Linked DNA regions of Arabidopsis thaliana. The main gene of each other region encodes a partner of the protein of the gene in region 3 in a complex. Each region holds a gene or a part of one and is shown on either strand. Other genes may lie near its edges. The genes, in order: PnsB1, NdhS, NdhN and NdhO.

Region 1 (4,508 bases), on a different chromosome or scaffold from region 3:
AGACCCCGTTAACGAAATGATGTTCATAATCCGAGGCCGGTTAGAAAGTGTAACAACAGATGGGGGAAGAAGCGGTTTCTTCAACAGAGGGTTGTTAAAAGAAGGAGACTTTTGTGGTGAAGAGCTTCTGACATGGGCTCTTGACCCTAAAGCAGGCTCAAACTTACCTTCTTCCACAAGAACAGTGAAGGCTCTGACTGAAGTAGAGGCTTTCGCTCTTGAAGCTGAAGAGCTGAAGTTTGTAGCAAGTCAGTTTAGGAGACTTCATAGTCGACAGGTTCAACAAACATTTAGGTTTTACTCTCAGCAATGGAGAACTTGGGCTTCTTGCTTCATCCAAGCTGCTTGGCGTCGCTATTCAAGAAGGAAAAACGCTGAATTGAGACGGATTGAAGAAAAAGAAGAAGAATTGGGTTATGAAGATGAATATGATGATGAGAGTGACAAGAGGCCTATGGTTATCACAAGAAGTGAGTCTTCTTCTAGACTGCGTTCAACGATATTTGCATCAAGATTTGCTGCTAATGCATTGAAAGGGCACAGACTTAGGAGCTCAGAGAGTTCAAAGACCTTGATAAATCTGCAAAAGCCTCCGGAACCTGATTTTGATGCTGAATAATCCAATTCTTGATGAGAGGCCAACATCAGAACAGAGACTACATAACTGATTTATACACATAAATGCTCTATATATAGAACTTGTTTCAGAAACTGTAAAGTTATCTACACGAGAGCCAATGATCCTTCAAAGACCTGCATTGCATTTTTAACAGTTCCAATGTCGATATCTGCTAGTTTTCCAGTCTTCGAAGCAATAATTACACAGTTACTCTTCTCTTCTGCATACGGTACAAAGAGCTTCCCTTTCTCTTCTGAAGAGAACAACCCAATACTGGAAGAAAAAGAAGCACACACATGTTAGTTCTTGAAAACATTGAATCAGTACTCTTTATATTACTCAGGTATTCACCATGGTTTGTCTCGCGCATTAGCTAGTTGAATCGCAGCTGTGTTTGTTGCGATGACTCCAGCAGAATCGTTTATCAGAGCAGCCAACTAAGTAAGCTCAAGAAAAGGAATCAAAGTAAGATCAGTGAATTCAACTTTGTTCATAACAAATACAGACAGATAAGCATGCATACCTGTCCTGGTGTTGTGATGAACACTATAGATGTATCATCACCCACAAAATCTTCAACGTTTTCTCTTTCTTTCTCATGTGGAATCACAAAGACCGGCTTGAATCCCCTGGCATTGTTCACAATCATATCTCAGAGAATTTCAAACTAAGCAAAAAATTCACATTTTGAAGGTGTGTAATAATTACCTTACACCCTTTATAATCTTAGCCCATTTTTCAAGTGAAAGTAAACTATCAGCATCTCCTTTTGATTGCATTGATGCCTTAGAATCTGATTCAATACCATGAATCACTATAAACTTCCCCGTCACTGCTCCAGCATTCCTATACTTTGCAGCCACAACCTCTTTCACTTTCCGTGAAATCGATACCCTAAGTGGCAACAGAGGAGTCCTTGGAACACTCCTAAACGGTCTTCCTAACCAATCTTCCATCTGAGTATACCTGAAACCATCAACAGTCAATTTAGACAGGCGATAAAAAAACCTGCAGTTTCTTCGGTTTCAAGGAACTCACATGCTATAACCTAATTCTGAAAGGTTGGTATTTTCTGCTGTAAAGGTCTCGGACAGCATCAGACCAGCTCCTGCAGAGTTAACATTCGGGTAAATGTAACTAACCCTGTCTCGAGCCGTTGTCATGAACAAGAACGCTGCGTGGCCTAACCCTGCTAGCTTCGTGGACAGAACCATGTCATAGTACCTTCCCTGAAACATGACTTAAAAGAAAAGTTAACTAAGCAGTCTGATAAAGGAAAGATAGAAAAAACGTTGAAATATTTGAAAGTTACAAACTTTGAGGAGTCCGATCATGTCTGTGTATTCAGCTGGTTCAGGCCAATGATCATCCGGATCATACACATTGGCCCATCTCACGTTTTTGTTTAGCTCGTATGTTTGTTTTCCTCTTTCAGTCGTTAATATATCTACCTGAACACCAGGATACCTTACAAAACAACAGAAACGTACGGACAATGTTCTGCATTTCAGTTTAAGGTTTTAAAAAAATGTCGAATCGGAGACAGAGTCTTATACTTTTATTACCTGTCTTTGATTAGCTGAATAGTCGGGAAAAAGAGTAGATTCTCGTAAACGCCACCGGAGATAACGCAGCAACATCGTCTAACATCTCCTCTGATTTTCAACGGTAAAGAAGCAAGCTCGACGGTGTAACCCTTTGGAAACTTCAAGAAGCCGTAAGGGTTATCAGGATTATCCGGTGGTCTTGGATCCTCGTCTTGTTTTCCGTCGGCAAACAAGGACCCGTATTCGTTATCCGGGTCTTCACCGCTATCAAACGGGTCGAGCCACGGATTATTCTTCTTCTTGAGATTGACCGATACATCGGAAGATCTCGACGTAAGACGAGTTTGAAAGTTGAGGAAGACGAGTGGTTTGGAGGTAGAAAACGGCGGCGTTTTAAAGAATGGGGAAATGGGTTTGGGTAACAGAGGAAGTGAAGAAGCCATTGGAAGGTTTTTTTGAGCCAAAGAAAGAAAAGTTTGGATTTTTAAATGTTGTGAAAGAAAACAGATCTCTGTAGGAACTTAGGATAAGTGGGTCCCTTTTGTGGCAATTTTCCGACCATAGAAGAAAACTTAGCATTTAATTTATTTATTTTGGTTATGGCAATTCCAGAAATTATTCTCTGTTCGATTAATTAAAACTTTTGTCTTTACATTGGTTGATACGCACGAGCAAAGAAACATTCCTAATCTCAGAACTCAGAAGCATTAACCAACTGATTACAGTAAGCAATTAAACCATTTAACTTGTCGGGTCGAGCAATAAGGACCCGTTTCATTGTCGGGTCGAGGAACAAAAGAACAGAAAAAGCAGAAGAACCAAACGATGACGTGTTAAGTCGTGACTGGTGAATGACCTTTTCTCCTCGTCTCTCTCTCTCGATTTGATTCGTTTCGTCGTCGATCAGAAAAAGCTTCTTTCTTTCTTTTTTTTTTCTGGGTTTTTCTGAAGTCAAAAGCTTTTTTTTTCTTCATTGTTCAAAGATTTTATTTTGTTGCTCATTGTTTCTAACCTTGCTTTTCTCGTGAACACAGCAAGCAACTTGGTTTAGTTTTACTAGAAGATTCCTAAAAATGAGATATTTAGCGGTGACAAAAAAGTTTCATTTTTGGTGCTAATGTAGCTGTAAAGTCTAGGCCTTCCGATATATAATCTCTTGAAATAAGTTTCGAGACTGTTGGAAATAGCAATTTTGTTGTTGTTGTGTGATCCAGTGATAGATCTGTGAAATCAAAAAGCAGTTTTTTGTGAGAATCGGGTCAATGTCGGTTCCTCCTAGATTCCGGTCCGTAAATTCCGATGAGCGAGAGTTCCGATCAGTTCTTGGTCCTACCGGGAACAAGCTGCAGAGGAAACCACCGGGGATGAAACTGGAGAAGCCGATGATGGAGAAGACCATCATCGACTCAAAAGATGAGAAAGCGAAGAAACCAACTACTCCGGCTTCACCAAGGACGACTCTGAAGCAATGCTCGTCTCTTTGCTCTTCGATTTTGAGAAAGAATAGTGCTTCAATGACTGCTTCGTATTCCTCTGATGCTTCGTCTTCGTGTGAGTCATCGCCTTTGAGCGTGGCGTCTTCTTCGAGCTGTAAGAAGGTTGTGAGGCGAAGTGGGTCTGTCTCTTCTACAAGGAAGCTGAGTGTTGGGAAAGAAGAAGAGAAGGTTTCTGGTGATTGCTTCGCTGATGGTCGTAAAAGGTGTGCTTGGATCACACCTAAAGCTGGTAAGCATCAAACTTTCACCTATCACACATTGCATAGTGAGAGAGCTTTTGACTTTAGATGCATTCAAATAAATGAAATGAGTGAAAATGTGAATGTGAGATTGAGTTTAGCCTGATTGTGTGAGATGATAAAGTTCTTATCTAGTTGAATCAAATGGGACTGAATTGAGACAAGGAGCTAGTGTTTTTTGTTTGATCTAATTATGTTCTTCTGTATGTGAATATTAAGTAATTCAATGGCCAACAAAATGTTTCAATTGCTATGTATTTTATTCAGTGAGCATTGTGTAGATCATTTGCTATGTTGCATAACTTATGAAGTAGCTTGTCCTGAAGTTCTCTTATAAATATTTTAACTTCTCAGTGTCCATGAAATTTAGATGAAGGATGTTTTGATTAGCTGATAGATCCACTTCGTTTATGCTTTTAGTGTAAGCCAAACAGCGTTTTCTGGATTCTCTATACTAATGAGCATAAATGTTTCCATGCCAAGAGGCACTTTCCATTATTCTTTGTTGTTCTCTCATGCTTCATATCTTTCTCTGCTGTAAATTGACTAATAATGTTGCGTTTTTCTACGTTGTAAAGACCCGTGCTATGTTGCTTTCCATGACGAA
Region 2 (3,326 bases), on a different chromosome or scaffold from region 3:
TCATCTGTTTGTTATGCGATTTACTTTCTGGCATTGCAGCTTCAGAGGGAAAGAGTCAGGTGGCAAATGAAGCTGATACATTGTTCTTCTCCAATTTGAACAACATCCAAAAGACTACTGGCGGGAAGGCATCATCGCAGCCAAAGCGCACGCCAGTTTCAAACGAAGAAATGGAAGCCATTTTGGTATGTAACTTCATTTTGACATGTATAACAACACTTAGATGAACATGTATCTAACAGTATAATGTGTGACCAACTACTAAGTTATAATTATGTGACCAATTACAAGTTGAGAGAACCCTTTTCATGATTTAATAATATTGTTCTGTTTCTAACTTCCTTATCCTTTTCTGAATTTTTTTTACAGTTGGGAGGCTGCATCTGATCATTTCAACATGATCTGTTGACAAGAATGGTGGATCACTTCTCATCTTTACCATTTACAGAATATACTCGATAGTCAAGAAGAAACTGATATGGTTGATGTTTACAACAACCAATGATAACAATAAAACTACTCCATTGCAGTTTTTAACTTCTATACTGATTCATCATTGATTGAGTGCATTTGAATCTCTATTATTAAGTGCTTTATGATTGAAATTCATCGTTTATTCTTTTTTTTATATCACATGATGAAGCTCTTTTAGAACCAGTCAGAAATATTGTAGCCTAAAACGCAAAGGTACGTTACATATACATTCACAGGAACTTACATACAGAGAAGAGAAGATCACTTATGGTGCTGCCTCTTCCTTTTGCATCTGTTCGATAAGAGGCTCGAGAATACAAGACTTTGGATTCTTACCCGGTGGACCTTTTTCTCTTCGTTCAAGCTCTTCAAGCCTGAAAGTAATGAGACGGTCCCAGTTTCCTCCTTCGAACAAGACACCAGCTTTTCCATCAGTGATCCTCTGCACAATTCCACAATACATGTGATACGGACTGTTCTGGTTCTTGACTATAGCAATCATCCCCGGCATGAGAAGGGGTAGCTTGGGCGCTTTCGGCTTCTTATCTGTAGCAACCGCGGATGCATCGCTTCCTTGTTTTGCAGGTGGTGGTGGTGGAGGAGGTGGTGGATTTTTTTCGATAAACGTTTTTAAACCCTTTTCGCCACCGGGAAATCCTCCTGTGAGACCCATCATCTCTTTCTCGAAACCATCTTCAGGTACTTTAAAAGACAAGTTACTGTCATCGCTCTCTCTCTCTGTCTCGTTGTTCTCAGCCTTTGATGTCTCTTGCTCGTCTTCAATGTTCCTCTGGAGCTCCTTCTCAATACCTTTCTCTCCGTTGCATAATCCTCTTCCTCCCATCACTTCCCATAGATTGAATTTACCCATGGCCTTTACTTGATACAGTTTTGACTGCTGTTTTGGAGGCGGGAAAACCGACCGGTTTACAGTTGAAAATTGATGTGTTTGGCCTAGAAATTTTGATCGATGAATCGGAGTTCTAATGGTCGGGATAGTGATCGAAGAAGTCGCCATAACTATTTTTGCCTGCAGAGTAGAGTAGAGGTGACTAAGGGAGATATGAAGAAGATGGAAGAGGAAGGAAGAAGCGTGTGATTGATTCGCTTGTTATAATGACCACATATCATGATTTCAGTTAGATGAGTTCTATCTATTTCCAAATTACCAGTGGACCTGAACCGGTTAATGCGTAACCGGTGTTTGGAATAATGATTTAGGAGAAAGAGTAGGAACATTTGGGCTTTGTCATAAGTTTAACCTGGACCAAGTTTGAATATTCTTAAGAGATATGGGCCTAGATTAAAAACAATGGTAATGTAATTAAACATATTGCTAAATGCTAATAATGTGGATTTGTTTGTTTATTAAGAAAAAAGCAGCAAGAAGAAGATAAATCATTTGGGTCAACGACATTAATAATTGGAATCCCATACTCCCAAATCATAATTAGACATACACTTTTGTCTTAGGCTGTCCTTTACACTCATCGGCATCACCAAATACTTAGTTGGCAACTTTGATCAATTAATGTATTAAGCATGAATGAAAACAACTTTTACATTGATTCGATAAATTCATTATATTGTAGATAAGATTAGTCAAAAGTTTACAAACATTCGTTAACAAATTACAAAACTTGTAATATCTGCAGCAATGCCCATGTGGGTAGAGCTGGCTGACGCAACCTAACCGGGGGATAAAAGCGTCTTTTTGGTACCAAATTTAAAGTTTCTTTATGAGTAAAATTCCCAAACCCAACATCTTCTTCCTGCTGAAGCAGTAAGCACTCAACCAAAAAACCAATTGCGTAAACACTTTCCCTTGAATACAGAGATCACATTCGATCAGGTAAAAACAAGGTCTCGATCTTCTCTTCAGTCAATTTTTTCAAATTATTCGAGGTTCCCGTCATTCGATTCCGACTTCCGAGCTTCTATTTCTGCTCAATGTTTTTGTATTTTGTTAGGGTTTCCAGAAAATTCGATTCTGTTGTTTTTAATTTGAGCTAATAAAATCTAGAATGGGAAAAAGAAAGAGTTCATTTTCGTCCTCTTTCTTTTTGTAGAAGCTGAACTTTGTTTTTCTTTTACAGCGAGCTGATTTCTCACAAGGGATATCAAAATTTCTGGTGAAGTGGGATTGTAAAATTCGGCGTTGAAAGATATATAAAGAGGTATGTTTGATCCTCAGTGAGGAATAAGGATTTTTAGTAGTTATATATCTCTCCAAGTGATGATACATACATACTTGTGGATTAGATCTATGATAAGAATAAGCATAAGATAGAGACTGAGAGACAAGTCATTTAGGGAGATTAAATAATGTTCATGGAATGCTAAAGTTCATATAGGAGTTTGTCTCATATCAGAATCTAGATTAGATCATGCTCAGATGACATCTCTTGAATGGACAAAAAAGTTTTTAACTATGTGATTTTTTCGACTTCTTTTGGGGAATCAATGTACTACAAGCTGAGAGTTTTAGAGTAGTTTCATCTCTGGCTAAGCTTTGATTCATTTTCTAGTGGAAGGTTCTGGAGTCGTTTCAATTCATGGATGATGGTACTCCTAAGAAGCTAAACATATTACCTGATCACTTTAGTGCTCCTAGTCCCACAGCAGAATCTTCTCAGCACGATACTCCATCATCTTCGCAGCCAAAGGACGATAGTTCTCTGAGGTAAATTGTTAGCGAATAAATATGCTAAGAAGGGAAATTCTGAGCTGAAATGAATTGTTTTTTCGGGTGGTTTTGTTTAGAGTAGGCCTTATAGCCAGTCACGGACTCGCAGAAACCTGAAAAGAGCAGCAACTATGTTGAATTTGTTCACTCTTCGCCGTCTGCCTTG
Region 3 (3,856 bases):
CAAAGACTTCGTCGTCCTGCTGTTGCTCTTGTTTCCACCAATGGCACCTGGATCACGTTAGAACCCTAATCCCAATCTCTCTCTTTTCAAAATTACGTTCCTCACTCCCTCCTTATCTAACGCATTTGTGTTTTGCAATTTGTTGTTTTATGGCAGGTTTATGAAGTTAAGATTGGATCGTGTTCTGTATGATTCCTTTGAAGCTACCTCTCTTGATGAAGCTTTGGCCTCCAATCCTACCACTCTTGAGTTCGATAAGCCTAAAAATTGGGTGGCGCCATACCCCAAGTATGAACCTGGATGGTGGGATACCTTCTTGCCTAAAGTAACCCAAGAATCTGCAGTATAGAACTTTGCTTTTTGTCTTGTTTTTGCATTCTCCAATCTCAGCTTTGTCTTAGTGCTTCAAAGTTTTGTACTACTGAGCTCATTATCCAAGTCTATATCTTTCCTAGTGTAGCTTCTATTACTCAAAGTTGCCTGTTTGATACGTCACTGACTCAAGGTTAAGCATAGAACTAGACAACAAAAAGCATCCTCACATTTAGCTCCATCAAAGTCTTAAGGGTGACCATATTTGTTGATTTCTCACGAGAATATTGGCAAGAACCTTCAGTTAAAGCTCTAGGTATTAAGTTGTCTAGTCACAGGAGGGCAATATGCCTACTCGCTGAAGAACTTTGCAAAAGATCTGAATTTTTTGGTTTTCAAAACGATTTGTGGACTCGGAACATGTTGTTACTCGTTAGGTCTAGTGACTGGAGTTGATCAAAGTAAGTTGCACATGTTTCTGCTGAATCAAGTGTTCTATGTTGTACTTCTGGATTGCTCTGTAGTCTGTATCTAAGCGTGTCCTATCAATCTTACTGATTATACATACTTTTATTTGTGACAAAGCAGAGTCAGAAATTATCTTTAACTACTCCATGGGAATATACTACCAAGTTACAAATACAGATTTTAACTTTTACTATGGGATGAGTATTGCTACACTTGCGGGAGATGCATTCATGAAAAACTATACACTGGTAGCTCCACTTGTGCCATTAAGTTACTCTTGTGCAGCTAGATTTGCAATTTCTGCTAGAGGCTTCCACACGAACTTTCTCCTGCAGGGGAATTGGTAATGGTCATGCAAATTGCAAACATAGATGATTAGTGTGTATGGTAAGGAATGATATACTCACCAGTTGCCACATTCAGCAATAACCCTGACGTTAGGACGAAGAGAGGGAAGTAAAGCGAGAAATTGAAGCTCCGATTTTGAGAGGACCTGAGTGAAATGGAAATATGAGAAAGAGCATGTGGGAGAACAGATCAAATGAGAGAAACTCAAACCTTTGCTTCGAGGACCCATACAACAAGACCCTTGGCACTAGGGGGAAGAGCAGCGAGCCTGTAATCAACTTCTGGTGGATAATACCATCTTGCTATAGGTTGTTTCCCAAGATGAGCCTAAAAGAAGAGAAGATACATGGTTCACACAAAATTATATTGAAACAAGATTAAAGTAGAAGATGGATGAAAGTAGACATACAGGGCAAACAGGGTAGTTCTTGAGAAGGGTAGTCTCAGGGTCACCAAGGCCACGAGCAGAGATGTCAAGAAAGTAGTAGCCCTGCATTTTGAGACGGTTAAGATAACGACCTTCGTAACCACCCTCATGAGGAGCGTAAATGGCGATTGCCTTGTGTTCTTCCACGTCTTGAAGCCATTGTCCGATGTCCGGCTTCACCAAGTCACCTCCGATGTAGTCAGCTATGCTGCTACATTTCACACCAGTGCTTCTTCTTCTCTTACTCCTAGTATTCACCAAAAAGGAACCAACTGTTTTGATCTTCTTCACTTGCGAGGCTTCAAAACACGGTGGTGCCACACGTTGTATACATATTGCACGGCTTCCCATTTCTTTACTAACAATGACTTCTTGTGGAAGTAGCTCATAATAAACATTGCTTGACGACGATGATGATGAAAGAATGGTGGAGAAACGACGACTCACTCCACAAAGGGATAGACATTAATGGGCTTAAAATGTATTGGGCTTTATTTATTAGGCCCATTAAGCACCGCCGAACGTCGTGACATTGTTAGCTAGCTCGCCGGAGCAAAATTCAGTCTGTGAAACTTTCGGAGAAGAAGGGATGTCGAGAGGATCTCGATTCGTTAGGGCTCCTGGGCTCTTACTCTGTCGCGTTAATCTTCAACCTCAACCCAAAATCCCATCTTTTTCCTACAGTCTTCGCTCTGATTATCGTCTTCATAATGGTTTCTCCAATTACATCAGACGTAACTCAATTCGAACATCTCCGGTTATCAATGCCTTCCTCTCAGATAACTCACCATCCCCGTCACCATCACCATCCCCAATTCGTTTTGTTCAACGGAGTTCAATGCTTAATGGTCGTCTCTTCTCGACTTCTACTCCCAATCCAGACCAAACCACCACCAAGACTAAGGAAATCAAGACAACCTCGTCGGATTCAGACTCAGCTATGGCTGACATGAAGATTCTCCGTACGCTTGCTGGCTATTTGTGGATGAGAGACAATCCAGAATTCCGTTTCAGGGTCATCGCTGCTTTGGGTTTTCTCGTGGGTGCTAAGGTCTTGAATGTCCAAGTCCCTTTCCTCTTCAAATTAGCTGTTGATTGGCTTGCTTCAGCTACCGGTACTGGAGCCTCACTTACCACCTTCGCTGCTACAAACCCAACTCTTCTTACTGTTTTTGCTACTCCTGCTGCTGTTCTCATTGGATACGGGATTGCTCGGACGGGTTCTTCTGCTTTTAATGGTAACTCTCAATAGCTCTAGTTTTCTTTAAAAAAGAATGCACTTTTCACTCTTGGTTGTTACTTTTCATCATCGCAGAACTTCGTACTGCTGTGTTCTCTAAGGTAGCTCTCCGAACAATACGATCTGTTTCTAGAAAGGTATGCTGCTGCTGCTCTAAACTATCTTGTCGATAGAGATATTTTAATGTATGAATCAATTTCATATGGTCGCTTTGCAGGTGTTCTCACATTTACATGATCTTGACCTTCGTTACCACCTAAGGTATCTATCTCTCCTCTCTTACTCTTGTGAGTAGTCTCGCTCATTCCATCTTAGATTCATCTCATCATAACTTCCTTACTTAATTGCTTATGTCCAGTCGAGAAACAGGCGGCTTGAACAGGATTATTGATCGTGGTAGCCGTGCAATAAATTTTATCCTCTCAGCTATGGTTTTCAATGTTGTTCCTACCATATTGGAGGTAAAGCTTGTCTGACCACTTGGTGCTTTCTCATGATCATTGTTTTTTTTCTCATTTTGAATAATTGGCAGTTGCTCATTCATATTTGGATTTCACTATTCATTCGTCTCTAAAAACACTCGACGTAATTAATATGTATCTTTCAGATATCTATGGTATCAGGTATACTGGCATACAAGTTTGGAGCTGCTTTTGCCTGGATTACTTCTCTCTCCGTTGGATCATATATCGTTTTCACATTAGCTGTGACACAGGTACTGTGCCTTTTTCGGTATTCTCTTTTCAATGCCAACTATAATGCAATACTTGCGTTATTATCATGATAATCCAGCAATAACTGTGATATTTTATTTAAGAAACTACTATAGTATACATTGTTCTGGAATTCGTTACTAAGCTTCTCTAATCTTAACTGTATCAACTCTTTGGATCGGCTTAAATCATTCTAGTTGTGATATTAGGTTTGATGATGTATAGAAGGATAGTTGTCTTCATACATTCTCTTCAACTTTCATTATCTTGTTACAAATCTTTTTGGTGTCAAACGCTTTGCTCACGGTTTTATTTATTTTATCCAGTGGCGAACCAAGTTTAGAAAGG
Region 4 (3,598 bases), on a different chromosome or scaffold from region 3:
TTCCTATTCCTAATAGGAAAAGGAAGTAATACAAAAGTTTAGAATAAGCCAAAAGATTAAAAATAAATAAAATCTAAAAAAGCTTTAAAAAAAAAAAGGAAAAATACATAATAATGGGATTAAATCCTTGTATGGAGAACAAATCCAAACCCTAGATTCTCTCATTCACCGTTCACCAATGGGAAAACCCAAAAGGAGAAATCATAGGAAACCCACTAACATCACCATCACGTCAATAGTATTTTTGTGATGATGAAGAATTTATCAGAAAATGGAAGTCAAAGACAAAGCAGAGGAAAGGATTGTTTAATGAAGTTGTGAGAGATGAGATTGGCTTTGTGTCTTGTTACTCTCCTAGTCACATACATAATACATTGATTACGAGGTGAATTTGAAACATGTTGGCACACTTCCGCTTGTCTTCGTCGTTTAGAGCACCTAAATTTACCATCATCCGTCCATTAGGTCAGTAGTTATATTTGTGATGATGAAGAAGTTTCCGGTTTTCGGAAAGTGGAAGCCAAAGACAAAACCAGAGGAAATTTTATGAAGCTGTGAGAAATGAGTTTATGTTGGGAGATCGATGAGATAAAATTACCATCATCCGTTTACTGAAGCTGCATTCTTATTATAGGAGTCTGATGACATATTCCACACTCCACAACAGTTTTTGTAACTAATTGTAACGTTGATACTTTGTCAAACTCTTGAACACATGATCATGATGGTGCGCCATTGTTATCGTTCATCTCAGCTTAACACAATCCTTGGTATATCAGTTGCATTCCAAAGGATTCTTCTTGGAACCTTCTTGACTCTACATTCGCTCGTAAACAAGTTTCTCACACTGCGGTGGAACAAAAACCAAGAACACAGAAACAATCATGACTTGACATCAAGACAATGCTACGTATTGTTGATGTACTGAGAAAATTATGAGTACCTTGATGAGCATATCTGTTGGGAGCCAAGCTGGTGCGGTGGGGATACCAACCCATCCAACCTAAAGTCTCCAAAATTCACAATCCATTAGCTCATCTTATGAAACAGAATAAACAATTTGTGTGGAGACTGACTTACAAGTGCATACTCTCCTGTCTCAAAGACACGAAGGTCCAAGACCTGCAAGATTTAGATTACTTGTTCAATAAGCTTGAAATCTCTTGTGATTTATTTTCAAAAGGGATTGTGTTATACCTCGCCGCGATCTTCGTATATGTAATCAAGTCCTTTGTAGAAAGGAGGATGTCCAACTGATAAGTACTGTAATTTCAACAAATGTAGCAAAACAAAAGTTTCAGAAACAGATTTTTGAAGAAGCAGCTTCAAAACTGGGAAAGATTTCGACTATACATTGATGCTGTTGAGGTACTTCTCTTTTTCCACACGAACGATTTGGCCCTTCTTCACTGTTTTCTCATCCACCAGAAACAGAAATTCAAAAGAATTATCAAAAATCTGTTATTGGATTCAACACTTAGAAACAAAAGTGAGGGAACAGACTCGAGTAAACCGGTTTCTTGGGGAGGGTTTTAGGGGTTTTGGTTGCAGCTGGTGATGCTTCCCCATCAGACTTGCCCTGTGTGCTCTGTTTCTCTTTCTCTGCTTCTGCTTTGACTGTGAATTGAGGAAGAGATCGATGAGGGAGTCTTCTAGAAGAAATTGGTAATGAAGAGGAGATGGTTGAAAGAGAAGAAAGCTGAGACACAGTCGCAGAGAAAGCCATTGGAGAGACCACCAAGAAAAAAAATTATGTGTTCTTGGAGTTTCGGGATAAGACCGCAATGGTATCCAAGTCTCTCAACGGTCTAAAACAGACATCACTGAACCAATCATAAGATGCCACGTAAGTGCAAACAAGTTTCCTCTGCTATACAACTAGGAATATAGTAATAGATAATGTATTCCAACAAAGATTATATTCGTTTTTTTTTGTTTTCTGATGCTTGAAAGTTTATGAATTATAAACACATACAAGTGAAATCGTGTATGTCACATGGAAGATCATATACAAAATCTTTTTACGTGTACTTTTAAATTATATGTTACATTATAGAATCTAATTGATCTGGTTGTGAAGTAGGAAACAATATATATACTGTAGGCAAAGTATTTAATTTTATAAAATTGTTTAAATCATATTCACATTGATCTCCTTTTGTTTTAACAAAAAAAAAAAACAGAGTAATAAGGTGAGCATTAGAATCTAGACTTACATAGTTGCATATATCAAAAATAATGTATATTACACAAGGAAATCAAGAGAAAACGTGAGAAAAGATTGAGCTCAATCATTTAACCCCTAGACTCTAATTTGATCCTCTTGGAAGATGGAGTGTCGTCATCAAGGGAGGAAACATCATGAGACGACGATGATGAAGATGTTGATGATGATGATGGAGATGAATCAATGTCGTTTTGTAGGATTCTCTTAGGACTAAGTTTTTTGGTTTTTCCTTCTTCAGCTTCACCACCTCTCATTATAAGTTCTTTTAAACGCTTCACATCAGCTAATTTCACCGGTTTTAGCAAAAACTCCTCTGCTCCTTCTATCATACATCTACAACAACAACAACAACAAAAGAGAGGATAGACAAAAAAATCAGATTACAGTGTTAAGATCCATTGATTCAGTTTTGTATCTTTAGCTATAGTGACTTACTGTTCTATACGAGGTTGTATGTTCTCAGAAGACATTATCACTACTGGGATTTCTCTGAGTGCTGAAGACTCCTGGCAAATATACAACAGAATTTTTGTAAGGAAAACACGAGAAGAGCTTATTCAAATCTTGCTCTAATAAATGACACAAAATAGAAATTTACTTTGATCTTCTTGAGGAGTTCATATCCTGTTAGTCCCGGCATTGAATAATCCGTCACTATCAAGTTCACTTTCAAATCCTGTTATCAAAATTTGCAAAATTGTTCATATAAACGGCATCAATAAACAAATAATAAAATCATCCTCTAAAGGTTAAACTTTTGATCCACATTGTGAAACCTTAGATTTCTTGGGAGCCAAACCAGCATAAGAACACTTCAAGTTTCAACGTCTAGGGTTGATTTTGCTAGAAAACAGAGAGATTCTAAGAAATGAATGAATATATACCTTAAGACCAGAAGATCCATTGTCTCCATCTAAACCAAGATACTGCAGAGCCCTAGTCCCACTCTCAACAGTCGTCACTATATAAAGAAACCCACCAAATTTATCCAAAAAAACGAATCAGAAACCAAACAAAAGAAAAGCAGAAAACGTAAAGAGAAACAGTTTTGCCTTTTACCTTTACAAGCAGAGATCTTAAGCAATCTCTCAATAACTTTACGATCCACGAAACTATCATCAACGGCAAGAACATGTAACTCCGGTGAAGAAGAAGAAGATAAAGAAGAAGATAAATCTCTGAGAGCCATTGTTTTCTCTCGGGAAAGTAAACAACAAAACAGATGAAGAAACGTTTAAAGTTTGAACGTCAAAGGACGCAGAAATCAATGTGAAGAAGGAAGACGAGGAGTTACATAAATAAGAGAGAGAGAGAGAGAGAGGCAGAAGCGGTGAGTGAGATACATAAATAAATAGGAAAGAGAAAGAGGAG

The links.
Region 1: NdhN (region 3) and PnsB1 share a complex: the UniProt entries of both Arabidopsis thaliana proteins name them as parts of the chloroplast NDH complex.
Region 2: NdhN (region 3) and NdhS share a complex: the UniProt entries of both Arabidopsis thaliana proteins name them as parts of the chloroplast NDH complex.
Region 4: NdhN (region 3) and NdhO share a complex: the UniProt entries of both Arabidopsis thaliana proteins name them as parts of the chloroplast NDH complex.

What each region holds. Positions count from the first base shown.
Region 1 is NC_003070.9:5,487,415-5,491,922, reverse strand, and holds PnsB1 (NDH-dependent cyclic electron flow 1), read right to left. Parts: upstream 2,779-4,508; 5' UTR 2,610-2,778; coding exon 2,185-2,609; intron 2,087-2,184; coding exon 1,936-2,086; intron 1,849-1,935; coding exon 1,658-1,848; intron 1,586-1,657; coding exon 1,328-1,585; intron 1,249-1,327; coding exon 1,143-1,248; intron 1,057-1,142; coding exon 971-1,056; intron 893-970; coding exon 724-892; 3' UTR 620-723; downstream 1-619. Other genes in the region: CNGC7 (cyclic nucleotide gated channel 7), read left to right, coding at 1-619; AT1G15970 (DNA glycosylase superfamily protein), read left to right, coding at 3,429-3,891, 4,480-4,508. UniProt on the Arabidopsis thaliana protein: NDH shuttles electrons from NAD(P)H:plastoquinone, via FMN and iron-sulfur (Fe-S) centers, to quinones in the photosynthetic chain and possibly in a chloroplast respiratory chain.
Region 2 is NC_003075.7:12,419,854-12,423,179, forward strand, and holds NdhS (NAD(P)H-quinone oxidoreductase subunit S), read right to left. Parts: upstream 1,612-3,326; 5' UTR 1,493-1,611; coding exon 740-1,492; 3' UTR 561-739; downstream 1-560. Other genes in the region: AT4G23885 (uncharacterized protein), read left to right, coding at 40-185, 370-387; AT4G23895 (Pleckstrin homology (PH) domain-containing protein), read left to right, coding at 3,030-3,157, 3,243-3,326. UniProt on the Arabidopsis thaliana protein: NDH shuttles electrons from NAD(P)H:plastoquinone, via FMN and iron-sulfur (Fe-S) centers, to quinones in the photosynthetic chain and possibly in a chloroplast respiratory chain.
Region 3 is NC_003076.8:23,560,024-23,563,879, forward strand, and holds NdhN (oxidoreductases, acting on NADH or NADPH, quinone or similar compound as acceptor), read right to left. Parts: upstream 1,979-3,856; 5' UTR 1,907-1,978; coding exon 1,538-1,906; intron 1,456-1,537; coding exon 1,339-1,455; coding exon of another isoform or gene 1,333-1,338; exon of another isoform or gene 1,274-1,332; coding exon 1,188-1,273; intron 1,110-1,187; coding exon 1,052-1,109; 3' UTR 545-1,051; downstream 1-544. Other genes in the region: EMB3143 (YCF54), read left to right, coding at 1-56, 157-349; ABCB25 (ABC transporter of the mitochondrion 3), read left to right, coding at 2,145-2,793, 2,871-2,932, 3,013-3,056, 3,154-3,256, 3,403-3,510, 3,835-3,856. UniProt on the Arabidopsis thaliana protein: NDH shuttles electrons from NAD(P)H:plastoquinone, via FMN and iron-sulfur (Fe-S) centers, to quinones in the photosynthetic chain and possibly in a chloroplast respiratory chain.
Region 4 is NC_003070.9:28,129,295-28,132,892, forward strand, and holds NdhO (NAD(P)H:plastoquinone dehydrogenase complex subunit O), read right to left. Parts: upstream 1,784-3,598; 5' UTR 1,727-1,783; coding exon 1,504-1,726; intron 1,410-1,503; coding exon 1,354-1,409; intron 1,264-1,353; coding exon 1,198-1,263; intron 1,123-1,197; coding exon 1,081-1,122; intron 1,004-1,080; coding exon 944-1,003; intron 848-943; coding exon 818-847; 3' UTR 534-817; downstream 1-533. Other genes in the region: AT1G74875 (F-box protein), read right to left, coding at 367-451; ARR15 (response regulator 15), read right to left, coding at 2,296-2,560, 2,663-2,733, 2,826-2,903, 3,112-3,188, 3,287-3,416. UniProt on the Arabidopsis thaliana protein: NDH shuttles electrons from NAD(P)H:plastoquinone, via FMN and iron-sulfur (Fe-S) centers, to quinones in the photosynthetic chain and possibly in a chloroplast respiratory chain.